Lonchura striata: one gene and its partner. The protein of the gene in region 2 purifies or fractionates together with the protein of the main gene of each other region. This does not show direct contact. Links are inferred from orthologs where the notes say so. Each region holds a gene or a part of one and is shown on either strand. Other genes may lie near its edges.

What was found.
Region 1: the proteins of SLC31A1 (region 2) and USP32 purify together in Homo sapiens (co-immunoprecipitation; 3 studies listed by BioGRID and IntAct, with this or other methods). This does not show direct contact. The link is inferred for Lonchura striata from reciprocal best matches to the Homo sapiens genes SLC31A1 and USP32.

The regions. Positions count from the first base shown.
Region 1 is NC_134622.1:9,920,543-9,928,581, forward strand, and holds the start of USP32 (ubiquitin carboxyl-terminal hydrolase 32), read left to right. Parts: upstream 1-4,996; 5' UTR 4,997-5,059; coding exon 5,060-5,117; intron 5,118-8,039. UniProt on the Homo sapiens protein: Deubiquitinase that can remove conjugated ubiquitin from target proteins, such as RAB7A and LAMTOR1.
Region 2 is NC_134624.1:4,672,409-4,679,717, reverse strand, and holds the start of SLC31A1 (high affinity copper uptake protein 1), read right to left. Parts: upstream 3,124-7,309; 5' UTR 2,782-3,123; coding exon 2,740-2,781; intron 2,668-2,739; exon of another isoform or gene 1,929-2,667; intron 1-1,928. Other genes in the region: FKBP15 (FK506-binding protein 15), read left to right, coding at 4,067-4,119, 5,229-5,338, 5,640-5,724, 6,276-6,345.

The DNA of each region.
Region 1 (8,039 bases), on a different chromosome or scaffold from region 2:
CCCCCGCACTGAACTGTCACTAGAGCTCAGCCCTCTGGGACAGAGGGACGCGCTGTTCCCTCCCGTGTTCCCGCCCCGCTTGGAACTCACCAGGAAAAAGGAGGGGATGAGGTGTCCGCTGCTGCCGGGAAGCAGCAGGGGATGATGCCAGGGCAAGGGCCTGGCTGTTGGGGCAGGGGTGGAGATGGGCAGCTGCTCCAAAAAGTCATGAGAGTACTGGGAAGAGGGGATCTCTAGGGCAGGTGTGAAAAGAGAAATGCCCTCAAACTGGAAATGAGGGAAAAAGCCTCAATCATCTCACGCCGAGAGTCCCCTGGCTACACCACACTGCAGCTCTGGTGAGCACTGCCTTCATTAACAAGTGTCTTCAACAAGAGACTTTAATTTCATTTTAATTTTTTTTAATTAAATTTTTCATTTTCCCCTGCAGTATTCCACTACAAAGTTCATACTGGCAATAGTGTGGGAGTACAGTTTACATGACAACAATAGAGGGACCTGCTAAGACTCTGCTCCTTTTACTTCCCCCAAAGTTCATATAAATCTATCATCCACTCTAAGCCACTTGTTTCCTAGAAAATGTGGGATGTGATAGAAGTTTCAATTTGAATATTGTTCTGTTGTTCTTTGAGGAAGCCTTCTGTATGTCCTCTCTGATAACATCAGAATCAGACTGGTAGATAATGATTCGGGGTATTTTTCTCATTCACCAGTTCACTGTAATTAGATATGAAACCATTTAGCTCTGACCACTGCAGACCTGATTGAATCCTCTTATTGCATCTTGTTCTCTCCCCCGCTTTCTACTCTTCTCAAATATTTGAGATGTGCTCTGCCACACTCCTGTCAGGATTGTCTGAAGCAGGAAGGGGTAAAAGTTGTCCTGTGTTTTTCCAGTGCTAAGAAGAGTCCTTTAAAACTGAACAATATCCCAGGGTGGGGAGACGGGTATTGGGGAAAGAGGCACCGATTTAGAGGCTGACAACAAAGTTGCATTTGTTTTAGTGAACATGAATCAGGAAATCCTAAGGCCTTACAGTGCTCTTCTCAGAAGTGTTTTTGAGTCACTGCAGCAGTTTCTCTGTTGTTTGGCTCGTCCCTTTTGAGTTCAGGCCTTTCCAGCAGGGCTCCAAACCCCTTCTCCTTGCAGCTGCCTGCTGTGGGCTGAGCAGAGCTGGAGGCTGTGGATTTTTCCCTGCAGCCTTGGACTGCAGCAGCCCTGGCAGAGCCCGACAGCTGCTGTGCTGCCAGGCTCCCGCTGCTCCTGTGCAGCAGTAAATACCTGCTTTGCTCAGATCCTTGACAGTGATGCAGAGACACTTAAAGATATTTGCTAAGTGCTTGTGAATTAGTTTTTGATTAGCGAATAATTAAATAAATTCCAGCAATCCAAAGGACACGTGCCCAGTTTGATTTGCATACGTAGCACTTCTCCATGGCAAGACAGGAGCTCAATTCATCTAATGTAAGTTTAAATTCTCAGTATCTTAATTTGATTTACCTTTGACACAGCATTTAAATAGCAGCAACATCTAATCTTGTGCTCCCCAATAAGGCTTCAGTAAAAACTTACTGCCAGATCTAATCCAGGGTTAGCACACACAGCCTTATCTCTGGGTTCTTGCTTCAGTGCCTTTGAGAACATGCTTAATTTAATCTGAACAAAGGCACTGCCATCGGGAGCCTCCAGCCTGGCTTTCCAATCCAGAGTATCTTTGTGATTAAATTTGGTGCAGGCCACTGTGTGTACAATGGATCCAGTAAATGATTTTGAAGTGCTCTTCAAACAAAATTCAGCTGGTTCTTGGACACCGCCTGTACCTCCGAGACATGAGGGATACCACTTTAGTTGGGTTTTTCTTAAGTGACATACATGTTCTTTGGAAAGAGGTCTGGGTTTTTTTGGTTAATAGGAAATGTTAACCATTATTAAGAACTATCACTCCAATCCCTTTTCCTTCCCACAGTGGAAGGAACTCCTTGCTAGAGGGTTCTGCTTCCTCATTTGCACCAAATACCCAGTCAGCTGTTTGTGACTATAAGCTGGTGGCTGATTTGTAATTATAATTTCAGTCATTAATTTTTTTCATTATTTTGCTGTCATTAAACCCCCTATACTGCCTGATAATCTCTACTACCTGAGAGTGGGGTTTGTGTGAACTGTAAGCAGAGGTTCTGTCTTGACATCACAGATAAAAATGGAATAATTTTTCAAACTGTGGTGGCTGCAGAGGCATCGGGTCAGAGTTGTCCTGGCAGGGTCCCTCACTGCTGGGTGTAGACAAAACAGGCCTGGCAGTGTTGTGTCAGGTCTCTGGTGAGCCTTGGTACTCAGGGGTTGGCTGTTGCTCTCTAGTAAGAGCCTGAGGATAAACAGTCATGGAGAAACTGGCCTGAAAACCAGCAGGAATTGGTGTGGAGCTGCTTACCCCACCACTGAAGCTGCTTCCTTCTTTAATTGCTTTCTCTAACTGCTTTGCCAGTTTGGGGCTGGCTGTGTCCCAGTGCTGCTCGTTCCAGGCAAAATGGGGTTTGGTCATTATCTTTGTAATTCAGAGCAGAAACCAAAACATTAAAATATTATTCCTGGATGTGAGGTCACACAGGAACACGACAGACAAGCCAGGAATTAAACCCCATCTCCTCGGGTGAGAGTTAATACTTTAAGAAAAAGGGATCCATCACAAACAGAGCATGGCTTTAGGGAGACCATGGAATATTTCACTTAATCACAAGATAAACCATATTTCTCCAGCTGTTGCTGGTATTGCCAGCTTATGCTTTTGATTGACATGTTGCCATGCTTGTTGAATTAATTCTCAAATGCTCTAAAGTTTATTTTGTATCTAAACTGAAAGCTGCTTGGTGAAGGAACTATGTTAAGAAGAGATATGTAAAGGTAGGGCAGGAATAAGAATATATATATATATATATATATATATATATATATATATGTGTGTGTGTGTGTGTGTGTGTGTGTGTGTGTGTTAAGGGTGCTTATTTCTTCTTATTCTTAGCTAACTGACATTACATTTACCTTTACTCTTTAAATGATAAGTACATAACCAGTGGCTGATGAGTGAAGTATATTTCCACCAATTTAATTTATATTTTTAAAAATAACTTAAATCTCCCCCTCATCCACATAAGAGAGGTAAAAGGTGTCTTTGTGGCAGATTTTATTCCTGAAAATGATACTTTTTTTTTTTTTTTTAATATGCCACAAATCTAAGATAAAAAACAGTTCAGAAAAGATAAAAGGAAGCTTTATGGAGCTTATTTCACTTGTAGTGTGTTTGCTCTTGGGTTACAGGAGGAGAAATTTGGCCTTGGAGCCCGTGTCTCTGTAAGCAGCATTCCTGGCTTTGCATATCAGATATGAAATTTGTTTGGAATGTTTGCTGTAAAAATACCTACGCATGAACTTACATCAGTGAGACAGCAACTCCGGCTTGACCTTTCTGCAGCCTGATGTGGCAAGATCATTCTGTGTGGAAACAGTAACTTAGGGAATGACTTGCAACTGGTGTTTTCACAGGCTTTGTTTCAGCACAGGAACAATTCTTGGAACAAGCTGCCCTTAGAAATCAGTGTTTTCTTTCAAACTCCTTATTTTCTGCTCGGGAGTGACCCAGGGTAGGTTACCAGGCTTAATGTTGTAACAAAGCCATTTTGGAAATCCTCCCATTCTGTGTCAGTCCCGGGCTGAATACTAAAAGCAAACACGCTGGAGAACAGCAAAGGGCAGGGGTGGTTTTGATCTTTTTACAATTCAGCCCGTGTTTCTGTTTCAGACAGTGAAAAGACATTTTAATGGAACAGGAACCTCCTACTGTCACCCCATGCCTGCAGCCCTGTGACTTAGAGGACTTTTTGAGGAGAACCACCGTGGCCTGAGAGGTTTGAGGGGGCTGAGGGGCTGATCCCCTACGAGTTTTTTGGGTGTTGAGGAGCTGGTTCCCTATGCAGTTTGAGGACATTGAGGGGATGATCCTGTGAGGTTTTGGGAGGCTGAAGGGCTGTTCCCTGTGAGGATTGGGGATTGAGAGGCTGTTCCCTGTGCGGTTTGAGGGGGCTGAGGGCTGATCCCTGTGAAGATCGAGGGGGCTGAGGGCTGATCCCCTGTGAGGGTGGAGAGGATCAAGGAGCTGTTCCCTGTGTAGTTTGAGGGCACTGAGGGGATGATCCCCTGTCAGGTTTTGGGGGGCTCATACCCTGTGCGGTTTGAGGGCATTGAGGAGATGACCCCTGTCAGGTTTTGGGGGGCTGATCCCCTGGGAGGATCGATGGGCTACTCCCTGTGTAGTTTGAGGGCACTGAGGGGATGACCCGTGTCAGGTTTTGGGGGGCTGACCCCCTGTGCGGTTTGAGGGCATTGAGGGGCTGATCCCTGCGAGGTTTAGGAGGGGCTGATCCCCTGTCAGGACCGAGGGGATTGAGGAGCTATTCCCTGCGCACTTTGAGGGCGCTGCGACTCCCACCCTCCCACAGGAGCGAGCCTGAGGCCGTTCCGCCGGGAGCCCGGTGGCACCGCAGCCTCTCTCCTCTCTCCGGTGCACGCTTACAGGAAGCGCTGACATCTTTCGCAAGCGACACCCCTGTGCCGGGGCAGAGCAAAATCCTTTCCTCTTCACAGCTCCCTTCCTCTGCGGCCGAGGAGCGAGCCCGGGGCCGAGGAGGGAGCCCGGGGCCGAGGAGGGAGCCCGGGGCCGAGGAGCGAGCCCGGGGCCGAGGAGCCCCGACCGCCGCTGCCCCTCAGCCGCCCCTGAGGGGACGCGCGGCGCCGTCCGGGGAGGGGGGGTGAGAGGAGGGAAGAGCGGGGGGTCGGCGTCAGCCAATCACAGCCCCGCCCCGGCCTCCCCGCGCCGCACGTGACGCGGCGCGCGCCCCCCCCGCCGCCACGTGACGCCGGCCGGCGATGGAGGCTGCGGCGGCGGCGGCGGGGCGGGCGCGCGGCCGCCGCCTCCTCCCCCCGCCCCCCCGGGCGGCCCCGCCCCCCCGCCCCCGTCGGTAGCGGCTCCGCCGGGCGCCGCCGCGGCCATGGACTGAGCAGGCAGCCATGGGCGCCAAGGAGTCCCGCATCGGCTTCCTCGGCTACGACGAGGCCCTGCGGAGGGGTGAGGCGGCGGGGGAGGGCTGGGTGGAGGGCGGCGGGGAGGGGGCGCGGGGCCGCGCGCTGCCCCCCGGCAGCGGGCGGTGAGGCGGCGCCTCCATGGCGGACCCCGCGCGGGGGCACTTGCGCCGTTCGGGGGGCTCCTTCCCCGCTCCACCCCGCCGCTTATTTATTTATTTATTTATTTGTCTGCCTTATCTATTTATTTACCTGTCCGTCTCTCCTCCTTGAACGCGGCCCCGGCAGGGCCCGGTCCCCGCCGCCGGGTACCGTCCCTCGGCCCGGCCTCCGGCCGTGCGCGGGCAAGGCTGGATGAACCGGGAAGCGCTGCCATCCCCCCGGTGTGACAGGGCTGTCACACAGCTCCCGGCTCTGCCGGCCCTGCCGCTCCTCGTGTTTACTTCGCCGTGCTCGGGGATCGCGCATCTGCAGCTCCGCATGGCGAGATGAATGTGGCGTGCGTGGCTCGGGCTCGCTGTCGCTGCTTTAGCCCGGCTGAGGGTCCTCCCGGAGGATTTAAAGAGGAACTAGCCAAGGGAAAACATAAACAAGCTTGAATCCTGAATGCTTGCAGCTGCAGGGCTCCAAGGCGACGGCAAGCTACACCCTGGAAGCTCCCTGGTTCTGGAACTGATAGCCAAGTCCAAGGACAAAGAGGGATAGGAATTGTCAGCAGTAAATGGTTTGCAGGGAGGACAGGTGTTGGTAATTGTTGCCCTATTGTGCGTTCACGTGATGCAGCGCAGGTAAAGCAGCTCACCTGTTTGATATTTAAAGCCCTGATAAAATTCATAAGCACAAGCTAATCTATGGCTGCCCTTTTTATTCCTGCTTGCATGTGAGAGGCATGTCAGGAGTGATAAGGGAGAACTGGGAGGAACTACTGGGTGTTAACTGAAAAAGAAACAAATGGACGTGAAATGGGGTTTTTGTTATATATTTTCTATTTTTTTTTTCTGGTGGAGCCTCTGAGGGATGCCATGTCAGATAGGAAATGGAGCAACGTAGTGTCAAGCAGGAGAAACAAACGTATGATTCAAAGTAACTTGTTACAGATTTTAAACATAACAGCCCTGAAGGATTTTCACTGCTAGTGAAAGTATAGGAAGTCTTTGAAAGCTTTGGTGCACGTATTTTTAGAAGAGCTGGAGTTATAAATGCAGCTTGGTAGAGGTGTGAAGTTAAATATATCAGGAAGTGTTTGAAATAAGCTGTTTGGTGGAGAATACAGTCATTGGGTCACGATGTATATTCCAAAGTTCCTAAATAAGAAAAAACAAGTGTTTGGAATTTTAAAGTTATATTTAAACTCTTACAGTGTTTCAAAATCAAGGCAATTGATCTGGATGCTTCATAAGTAATAAGATTGATTTCTTCTTAATAAGAAATTATTTCTGCGCAGTGAATATAATACTTTTCTTTGGTGTTTTTTTTTGGATGTTTTTCTTCTCTATATGAGACATTCAATACTGTTTTTCTGTAGGAGACCAGAAAGATTGTTTTAGGCACTCTGTTATAAATTGATGTTTTGCTAAATAACTATGTTATTTGCTTAACCAGTGAATCACTGTATGTATAAAACAGGCCAGTTATCAAAACATTATTTGTTAGACCATTCCTACTTCCACAGAACCTTGCTGGTACTTGTGGCATTTCTGTGGACACAAACAGAGATAATGGATAAAGGTAAATGTTAAAAAAAAAAGCCAAATGTATTTATCTCCAATTAGATCCACCTTCTCTAACATTGTTTCCTGGTTCTTAAATGGCAAGAAAGTTTTGTATTAGGTGGTATTATTTGTACAGGTTTTTCTGCTGGGAATTCTTTATAAGTAATCAGTACCGGTTACCTGTACTTGTGGTAATCATTCAGAATGCTGTGATCGTATTTTTGAGTCACCACTTTGAATTTCAGTTGCTCAGAATATCGGGGGAAAATGCTGCTTTTGTCAGCTTCAGAAAATAAGGCTGACTTTTAAGCAGTTTCATTTATTGCAATCCCATTTTGGTAGTAACCAAAGGTTGTGAAGGTGTGGTTAAAGGCTCACAATATAAATAACTGTAGCTAAAATGTAACTTCTGTTCAAGGAGATGAAAGTGCCAGAGCGGCCTGGTGCTGATGGCCTTTTCCACCCTTGAACAGGAGACAGTCCTGCTGTTTTATTTTCCTCTCTTTCCTTGGCACAGGCAGCTGACACTGCTGTGGTGACGTGGCCGTGTGGATGGGCACGGTGAAGTTGTCTTGTGTCCACCAGTGCAGGTCACAGGAGTCTCATCAGCCTCCCTGAGATCTGTGTCTGCCTGTGCAGCCTGGCAGTGGAAGGCAAGGGATGCTATTTTAGACATCTCTTTTTATGAGTTTTGCCAATTGTGGTCATCTTATTTATAGTAGCCAGAGGCACAAAGTGGTGTTGCTGTGGAAAAAGGTATGAGATGAGAAGTGAGCAGAGCTATTCCTGACCCCACAGACCTCCTTCTGAGGATGGATTCTTTGTGAGGAGATGAAATCCTTGGGCAGGTCATTAGAGGTGAAGTCAGAAGTGCTTTGTTCCAAACTGAGCATAAAATTGTCAGTTATTTTATCAAGCTGAATTTGTGGTGGCATGAACTGGTACTGTGGCTCTCGAGCTTGTTGCTTTCTTCTCAGACCTAAGCTCCAACAGCAATTTTCTGCCTATGACAGTGCTGCAAGTCAGCCAGTGTCCTGTTTTGGTGGGATTTTCCAATATTTATTCCTGATTTCCCACTCCTCTCCTACCACTGTGTCCATCAGGCTGTCTGGCTGCTCTGGCCTTGCCAAGGAGATGGTGCTCTAAAGCCTGCCTTATCTTTTACTTCTCCTGCTGCCAGTCTTGACACCCAGCTCCTCAAAGGAATGTCTTTTGGGCCAATAAAACTTTCTAAAAAGAAGAACTTTTTATCACTA
Region 2 (7,309 bases):
TCTAAACCAGGAAAGTCTAATTCCAGGACCAACAAATGAAAGGCTTTAGAAAGTACAATAAAATAGGAGTTTAATTTGTTTACAGTAGCTAGTTCCATTATTCTCTGCATTAGCAGATTTCAGCTTTCAGATGAAAAAAAGGTTAATGAAAAAAATCACTGGCATCATGTTCTCCAGGACCTGATTGGGAACATTTCCAGAAAATTAGATTGAAACAAAAGGCAATGGAGTAGATTAACTAAGATTGAATTTTCCAGATAAAAACAGCATAAAACAGTCTTTTTCCCTAAGAAAAAATTGCCAAGACTCCCAGTGATTTCCTGGCAGACTTGTGGAGTTCATGCTGGCAATGTGCTTCAGCTCAACTTCCCAAAATTCTGCTGCAGGCTCCTGCTAACTTTCAGGTGACCTTCAGGCCAGAGCAGGGAAGGCAGCTCTGCAGAGCCATGGCAGCTTTCTGTTGGGTAGAGGAGTCTTCACAGCAAATAGAGAAACCAAGGAGGAAAGGAGAAAATAGCTCATTTTAGTTCAAAGAACAAAAAGTTCTGTCTTCTCTTGGACATAATGTCTGACTGGAAAACAAGCCAGCTGAAAGGAAACTCCTCAGGGCCCTGCTCAAAACTTACCCTGTGAACACGGTAGATTTTGTCATTTACTTGTAATATAAAACTAACAAAGATTATACTCAATGACCTCCCTTCTCAGGCATTAAGCTTTTGTTCAAGGATACAGGGTCTCACTAATCCAAATCTTGAAGTTACATTGTGAAGGGAAAAGTGAAGTGAAAAATCCCCCCAAACCTCTTTCCAAAACAAAAAACAAACAAACCCCTCCCCCCCACAAACTTTGTCCTTGTACCACTGCAAGTCAGAATCAGTGGCAGAGATGATACCTTTAAAATAAAAAAGTGCAAAAGTGACTTGGAAAGGTGATTTAATTCCTCCTCTCTACTGGCAGAAATTATCCTAATTCTCAGCTTAGTTAAGAATCTGGCCTAGATGAGAAATCTGATATGAAATGAAAAGCAACCAAATCTCATTAGGATATGGTTGTACAAAATTCCTCCATTCTCACCACAAAGTTGTGTGGGAGCCTGCAACTCCTGCTAGTTCTTATATTTTCAGTACCTTGTTTTTTGGGGGGAGGACAACAAATGAAGCAAAACCCTGCTTATTGCAACAATTTTTGTCTTTGTAGCAAAAAGCATAATTTTGTATTGTACAGCAGAGCAGTCACATCTTCACCAATAAATCCTTAATACAAAACCAATCTTCATTTAAACAGCAACATTCACACATTATTCCCAGTGCCCCCTTTTTAATGAAGGATGGGGAAAAAATAGTGCTGAGTCCAAAGCTTGATGAATGCCTCAGGAAATGACATCATAAATTACAGGATTTGGGATTATTAACTTAAAGGCTAATTTACCCTATCAGATCCCATATTGTTACTCATGAAAAATCCTGCAAAAGCTTTACTGACCTCAGGCTCAAATAGAGGCAAGTTAAGATCAAACAGACTAAAAATCAACTTAATAAACACTTGTGAGGAGTGTTTCATCCACCTGGGCAAAAAAAAAAAAAAGCAGGACTAAGCATTCTGGAGCTTGGAATTTGGGCACAAACAGGATGAATTGGCCTCTGCCTGGGAACTGTGTGCAACCACAAGCCCACTGCACACTCAAATACAGATGAGGACTATGAACAAAGTTTAAATTAAAAAAAGATGAGTGGATAAGATGCGATGCTTGCTGAGTGCTGCAGATTGTGCTGCTACAGCCTCTTCCCAACCACTGGCATTAAAACTGGCCAGTGCTGAATCCCAGGAAAAAAAATAGAGAATATACACAGGTATAACACTGGGCTAGGAAGGTGGTGAAGGCACTAGGATTGGTTCATCCTGAAGGGGAAACTGAGCTCAGAACTCACCAGGGTTTGCAGCTCCTCTTGAGGGGCAGCTCCAAGCTCTGCTCGTCCTGAGGGAATGGAATCAGGTTAACCCAGGTCAGGCTGGAGCTCAGGGAAAGGTTCTTCCCCCAGAGGTGCTGGCACTGCCCAGGCTGCCCAGGGAATGGGCACGGCCCCGAGGCTGCCAGAGCTCCAGGAGCCTTTGGCCAGCGCTGCCAGGGATGCCCAGGGTGGGATTTTGGGGGTCTGGGCAGGGACAGGGGCTGCAATGGGTGATCCTGATGAGTCCTTTCCAGCTCAAGATATTCTGTGATACTTGTACCTAAAAAACCTAAATTGAAGTGCCACACCGGGACTTAGCCACGTGGGTCTTCACCACTTAAAACTACCTTAACAACCAGCCAGATACAAATACAGGAGCCAAAGCAACAAACTCTCTTCATCCAAGGGACTGCATTTCATGCCCACCTGCCTTACCAAGGGCCTTACCAAGGTCAGGACAATCTCATGCCACTGGGAATTTACACCAAATTATTGTGGGTTTGGTTTTGGATTTTTAACAGAGATAAGATTCTAACCCTATCCAGGTTTCACTCTAAATTCATCACACATTCTGCAATATAAAAGCTGTGTAACACTCCCCTTTATCTTCTCCCTTTAGAAGTGGAATTACTGATATCTCAATCATTGCAATAAAACTCCTGAATTACTGCGAACTCAGCTCCACAACAGACCGGGCAACTTCCTGTTCAGACTGAAATATCCAGTCAGTAACCGACAGAACAAACTTCCAACCAGTGCCAGCAAATACCCAACGCCAGGAAATACCAACCCTTAGTGCCATTCTGACCTCCTGCACATTGCTCTTCTGCATTTCAACATCATTTGGATCTCAGGCGAAATTAAAGCCAGTCGGTCTCACAAAGCACATAGAGATACCAGCTTTCCAAGAGAGGGAAAACACAGGAAAACCACAACACACCACAAAAAACTCATTAAACAAACAAAAAAAAAAGGTGTATATCTCAAGGTACGAGGTGAACGTGGGAAACTGCTTCAGAGGGGCGGCTCAGACGTTTATCCACACAATAAACGATGCCGGTGCTAAGAACACAGCGCATGGCTGGTGCCCGTGGGTATCCCAGAGACAGCGAAGCTGGAGCACAGCGGCGCCCGGGTGCCCGCAGCCCTTCCGCCCGAGCCCGCCGACCCGCAGGGCCCTCAGCGGAGCCCGCGGGCCCTGTGCTCAGCCCGGAGCGCCGGCGGGCCACGGCTCCTCGCGGCAAGGGCAGCGGGGCCCGCCTTGGAGCCGGAGGGCCGGGCTGGGCGCTCCTCCCGGGGAGCGCAGCCCGCTCCCACAGCGAGCTCGCCCCGCGCCTCCACCTTCACGTCCCAGGGCTCCCATCCGCTCGGGCCCCTGGGCCGCCCCGGCCCGGGGTGCCACGGCCCGCCCTGAGGGGATGGGGGGCGGCCGTGGGCCCCTCAGGCGGGATGGCGGGACGGGGGGCACCACCTTCCCCCCCAGCCCACCCGTCACTCACCGCGCCAGCGCCACCAGCCGCGGCCTTGCCCCGCCCCTCCGGCCAAGCCCCGCCCCCGCGGCCAAGCCCCGCCCCCGCGGCCAAGCCCCGCCCCTCCGGCCAAGCCCCGCCCCTCCGGCCAAGCCCCGCCCCTCCGGCCAAGCCCCGCCCCTCCGGCCAAGCCCCGCCCCTCCGGCCAAGCCCCGCCCCTCCGGCCAAGCCCCGCCCCTCCGGACAAGCCCCGCCCCTCCGGCCAAGCCCCGCCCCCGCGGCCCTGCCCCGCCCCTCCCGGCAGCCCCGCCCCCGCGGCCAAGCCCCGCCCCTCCGGCCAAGCCCCGCCCCCGCGGCCCTGCCCCGCCCCTCCGGCCAAGCCCCGCCCCTCCGGCCAAGCCCCGCCCCTCCCGGCAGCCCCGTCTCGCCCTCCGCCGTGCCCGACAAGCCCCGCCCCTTTGATGTGTCCATGCAGCTCCGCCCGTCACGTCAAGCCCCGCCCCTCAGCGCCGCTAAGCCACGCCTCCACCCGCACCCCCGCCCCGAAGCCCCGCCCCGTGACGTCCCGCCCAGGCCCCGCCCCCGCGCCGGTGCCGCCGGGCCGTGAAGCGCCGCCGCCGCCCGTGCCCGCCCCGGCGGCCGCCGGCCATGTTCGCGGCGGCGGAGGAGGACGACGCCGATTTCCTGTCCCCGGCCAGCGGGTGAGCGCCGGGGGCGCGGCGGGAGCCGCTCCTCGCCGCCGGGTGGGCGCGGCGGCCCGGGCAGGCCGCGGGGCCGTGACCCGGTGAAGGCCCGCGGCCCCGGTGAGGGCGGGCAGGCCGCCCCTGCCCAGCCGGGGCTGCCTCTGTGCCGGGGGTGCGGCCGGGCCGTGCCCCGCTCCGTCCCGCTGCGGGAGCGCCGTACTCGCAGCCCAGAAGGGTCCGGCTGGCGGCGCGGCTCGGAGCGGCCCCGCTGTGCCCGGGGCGGCGGGTTCGAGACCCGGCCTGGGGGCTCCGCTTTGCTCGGGGACCCCTCCCCTGGGAGCCTCCGGGGTCGCCAGGGCGGAGAGCTCGGTGTTTGCGCTTGAATGAGGCGTGGGGGAAGCGGTTTGGGGCCGCTCTCCGCCGCTGGCTCCTCCCGGGCTACCCGCGCGGTTCCGCCGGGATCCAGGGTTTTGTATCGCTGACTTGCTGCCGCTCCAGCAGTTCCACTCCCCGCCCCCTTCCAGGAGCTTTCCTTATAAACTAATCGTCTCTCTTTATAGAAAGTTCAGTTGTGTTTCAAAGGAGATTCACTGGCAGTGGTGGCATCCTTTGTTTGAATTATTCCCTTGCCCCGTGATATCAGGAATAGGTTGAGCATAACTGGCCTTGAAGCTGTGAAATTTCAAACAATGTATCCTGAAGGAATAACCTCCAGCATTAAACCCTCTGTCCTTAGCTGGGAGAGTGTCTCCCATTTTAAAAGTTAATGGAAGAATGTGTTGCCTGGACATTTAAAGACAAAAGACTCCAGGACCTGAATGGTGGTTTCTCTGTCAAATATTATTTTGGGTATTGTAAGACTCAACTATTTCATATCAAGCTACTTCTAGTCATTGCTTCAAAGTAACTTCTTTTTTTGTGTAGTTTCAGTTCTTACACCTTCAGTCGATTTTTGAGGAAATGAAACACAATTGTGTCACTTTCCCAACCTCTTCATCTACAAGTTCTGCCTATTCAAAATTAAATGGTTAATTAGCATAAAGCAACTTAACCTGCAGCCCTTTGTTTACTTCCAAAGTATAATGCCCATGTTAAATAAGGCTAAATGGTTTTATTTCCCTCTCTAGAGCCAGATTAGCCTCTCTCTTTGGCCTGGATCAAACAGTCTCAAGCCAGGGAAATGAATTCTTCCAGTTCACTGCACCAAAGCAGCCCAAGAAGGGTCAGACAGCAGCTGGTGAGTAACTGGGCTTGAGTATGGGGAACACAGTCAGCAGCACATGTGTGTGGGGAGAACAGAGGCCCTGGTGAAGAGCATGAGAGCAAATAATTTCCTGAGCTTTCCTCAGGGATCTTTTCCTCCAGTGCCCTCCTACACCTGGATTTTCAGCTGCCCTTGGGTGACTTTGGAACACAAGTCTTTGTTTCTTTGTAATTTCCTACTGGAGTTGTTTTTCCCTGGGGGAAGGAAGGTGTTGTGGTGGTGCCAGCAGCCAGTCCTGTGCCTCTGACAGCTGTCCCTGTCTCTGTCCCCACAGGCCAGCCCCAGAAGGCTCCAGTGGCCCCGGCAGCCTCAGGAGCCCCCTCGGTGCTGGTGGCCACCGCGGTGCTCGCGTATCGATAGTGAGTGACTTCTGCTGCAGTCTGTGTCCCTCATCCCACAGGGGAGATATCCCTGGATAAATGGGAAGAGACAGTTGTTTTCAGACATATCTGCATGGTGGGAATGCTGCAAGGCAATGGCAGTTCTGCTCAAGAAAACTTCAGTTGCTGAGCTGCAGCTCTGGGTGAAGAGGTTCTGAGATAAAGAGCGAGCTGTGGGTTTGCCTGTGGCTGGGAGCTGTGTCCTGGCTGCTGGGCTGAGATGTGCAGTGCTTCAGGAGGCTCTGTCAGATCCTTGTGGTTCATGCACTTGAGAATTGAGGCATGAGCAGAATGAGAGAGAGCACTATAACTGTTTGGTGCTGCCATGATGGAAAAACACTTCTGCCCTGGATCTGTGAGGGCAGTTTTCAACTCACTGCACAGCGTGTGCTCTTGCCTGTGGGCGAGCAGGAATGTCTCTAAGCTAAGCAAGACTGCCTGACATTTCATACTTGAGGAAAGGGATCTGAACTCTAAAGAATTCTGAGTTAGGGACAGTCGTGCAGCTGAATGTCTCCCTTATCTTTCAGTACAAATGGGCAGTACTTGAAGCAAGGCAAGTACGGAGCAGCTGTAGTGGGGAACCATGCCACCAAAGAGGTGAGAGACACTTCCTTCCCTAACTCTGCCATGCTGAGGGCTCACTGCTATGAGATGGTGTTTTTGTGAGCTCTCCAGGTGTTTTGCTTTTGATGTTGTTCTCCTGCTGCCTTTCTGCCTTCTGGGTTTTCTTGGGGCTCAGCCACCCACCTTGGTGATATCTCTTTTTCCTGCAGTCTGTGAGTTTGTAAAATCCCTTACAACTTGTGCCTAAAATAGTTTGCAGTGTTTCTGGAAGTCATTCTGGTATTTATTCCAAATGTCTTTGACAACTGGATCATGTATTTGTGCACATGGAAATGGATACAAAGGAAAATTCTGTCCAGCAGTACAGAGATGCTTTGCTTAAGTTTTATTCTTTTGGTATAAAAAACATCTTTCCTTCCCAAGTGTTTGGAAGAACAAAGAGCTGAGGTGCCCAGTAAAGTGGTGTGTTTGAAAGTTGATTTTAAAACTCTCACCCATCCCTGGTGTTGGTATTTGTGATGTTTCATATCCCCCAAGTCCTCGTTCATGTCTCACTAAGGTGCTTCTGCTTTGGCAAGAACAAAATAAATCTTAGTTTGGTAACTAAATTCCTGAGTCAGTGATATGGGAAGTGTTGAGCTCTGTTGTTCTGGGGGAGCTGGGGAGGACAGGCAGTGCAGGAGGAAGCTGAACCAGCTTTCTTCAGGCTGCCTGTGTGATATCACATCTGGCTGGGGGCAGTCAGTGGGTCACTCCCCATTCACCACTGAGCTGTGTCCAGTGCAGGTGCACAAAGGAAATCACATTTTCATAATAGATTATGTTTTGTAGAGCCAAATATGTCAATAAATCTCATATCTGTGCTGTTTAGTACTTTGAAAATTCCATCCAACTCAGTGTGTTGTGTCAATAGGTTGATGCAAAGATAAAAAACCTCTTTAGGGAAAATGTCTTTTCCAAAAGGGTGATCAGGGCCTGGCACAGCTGCCCTGGGCAG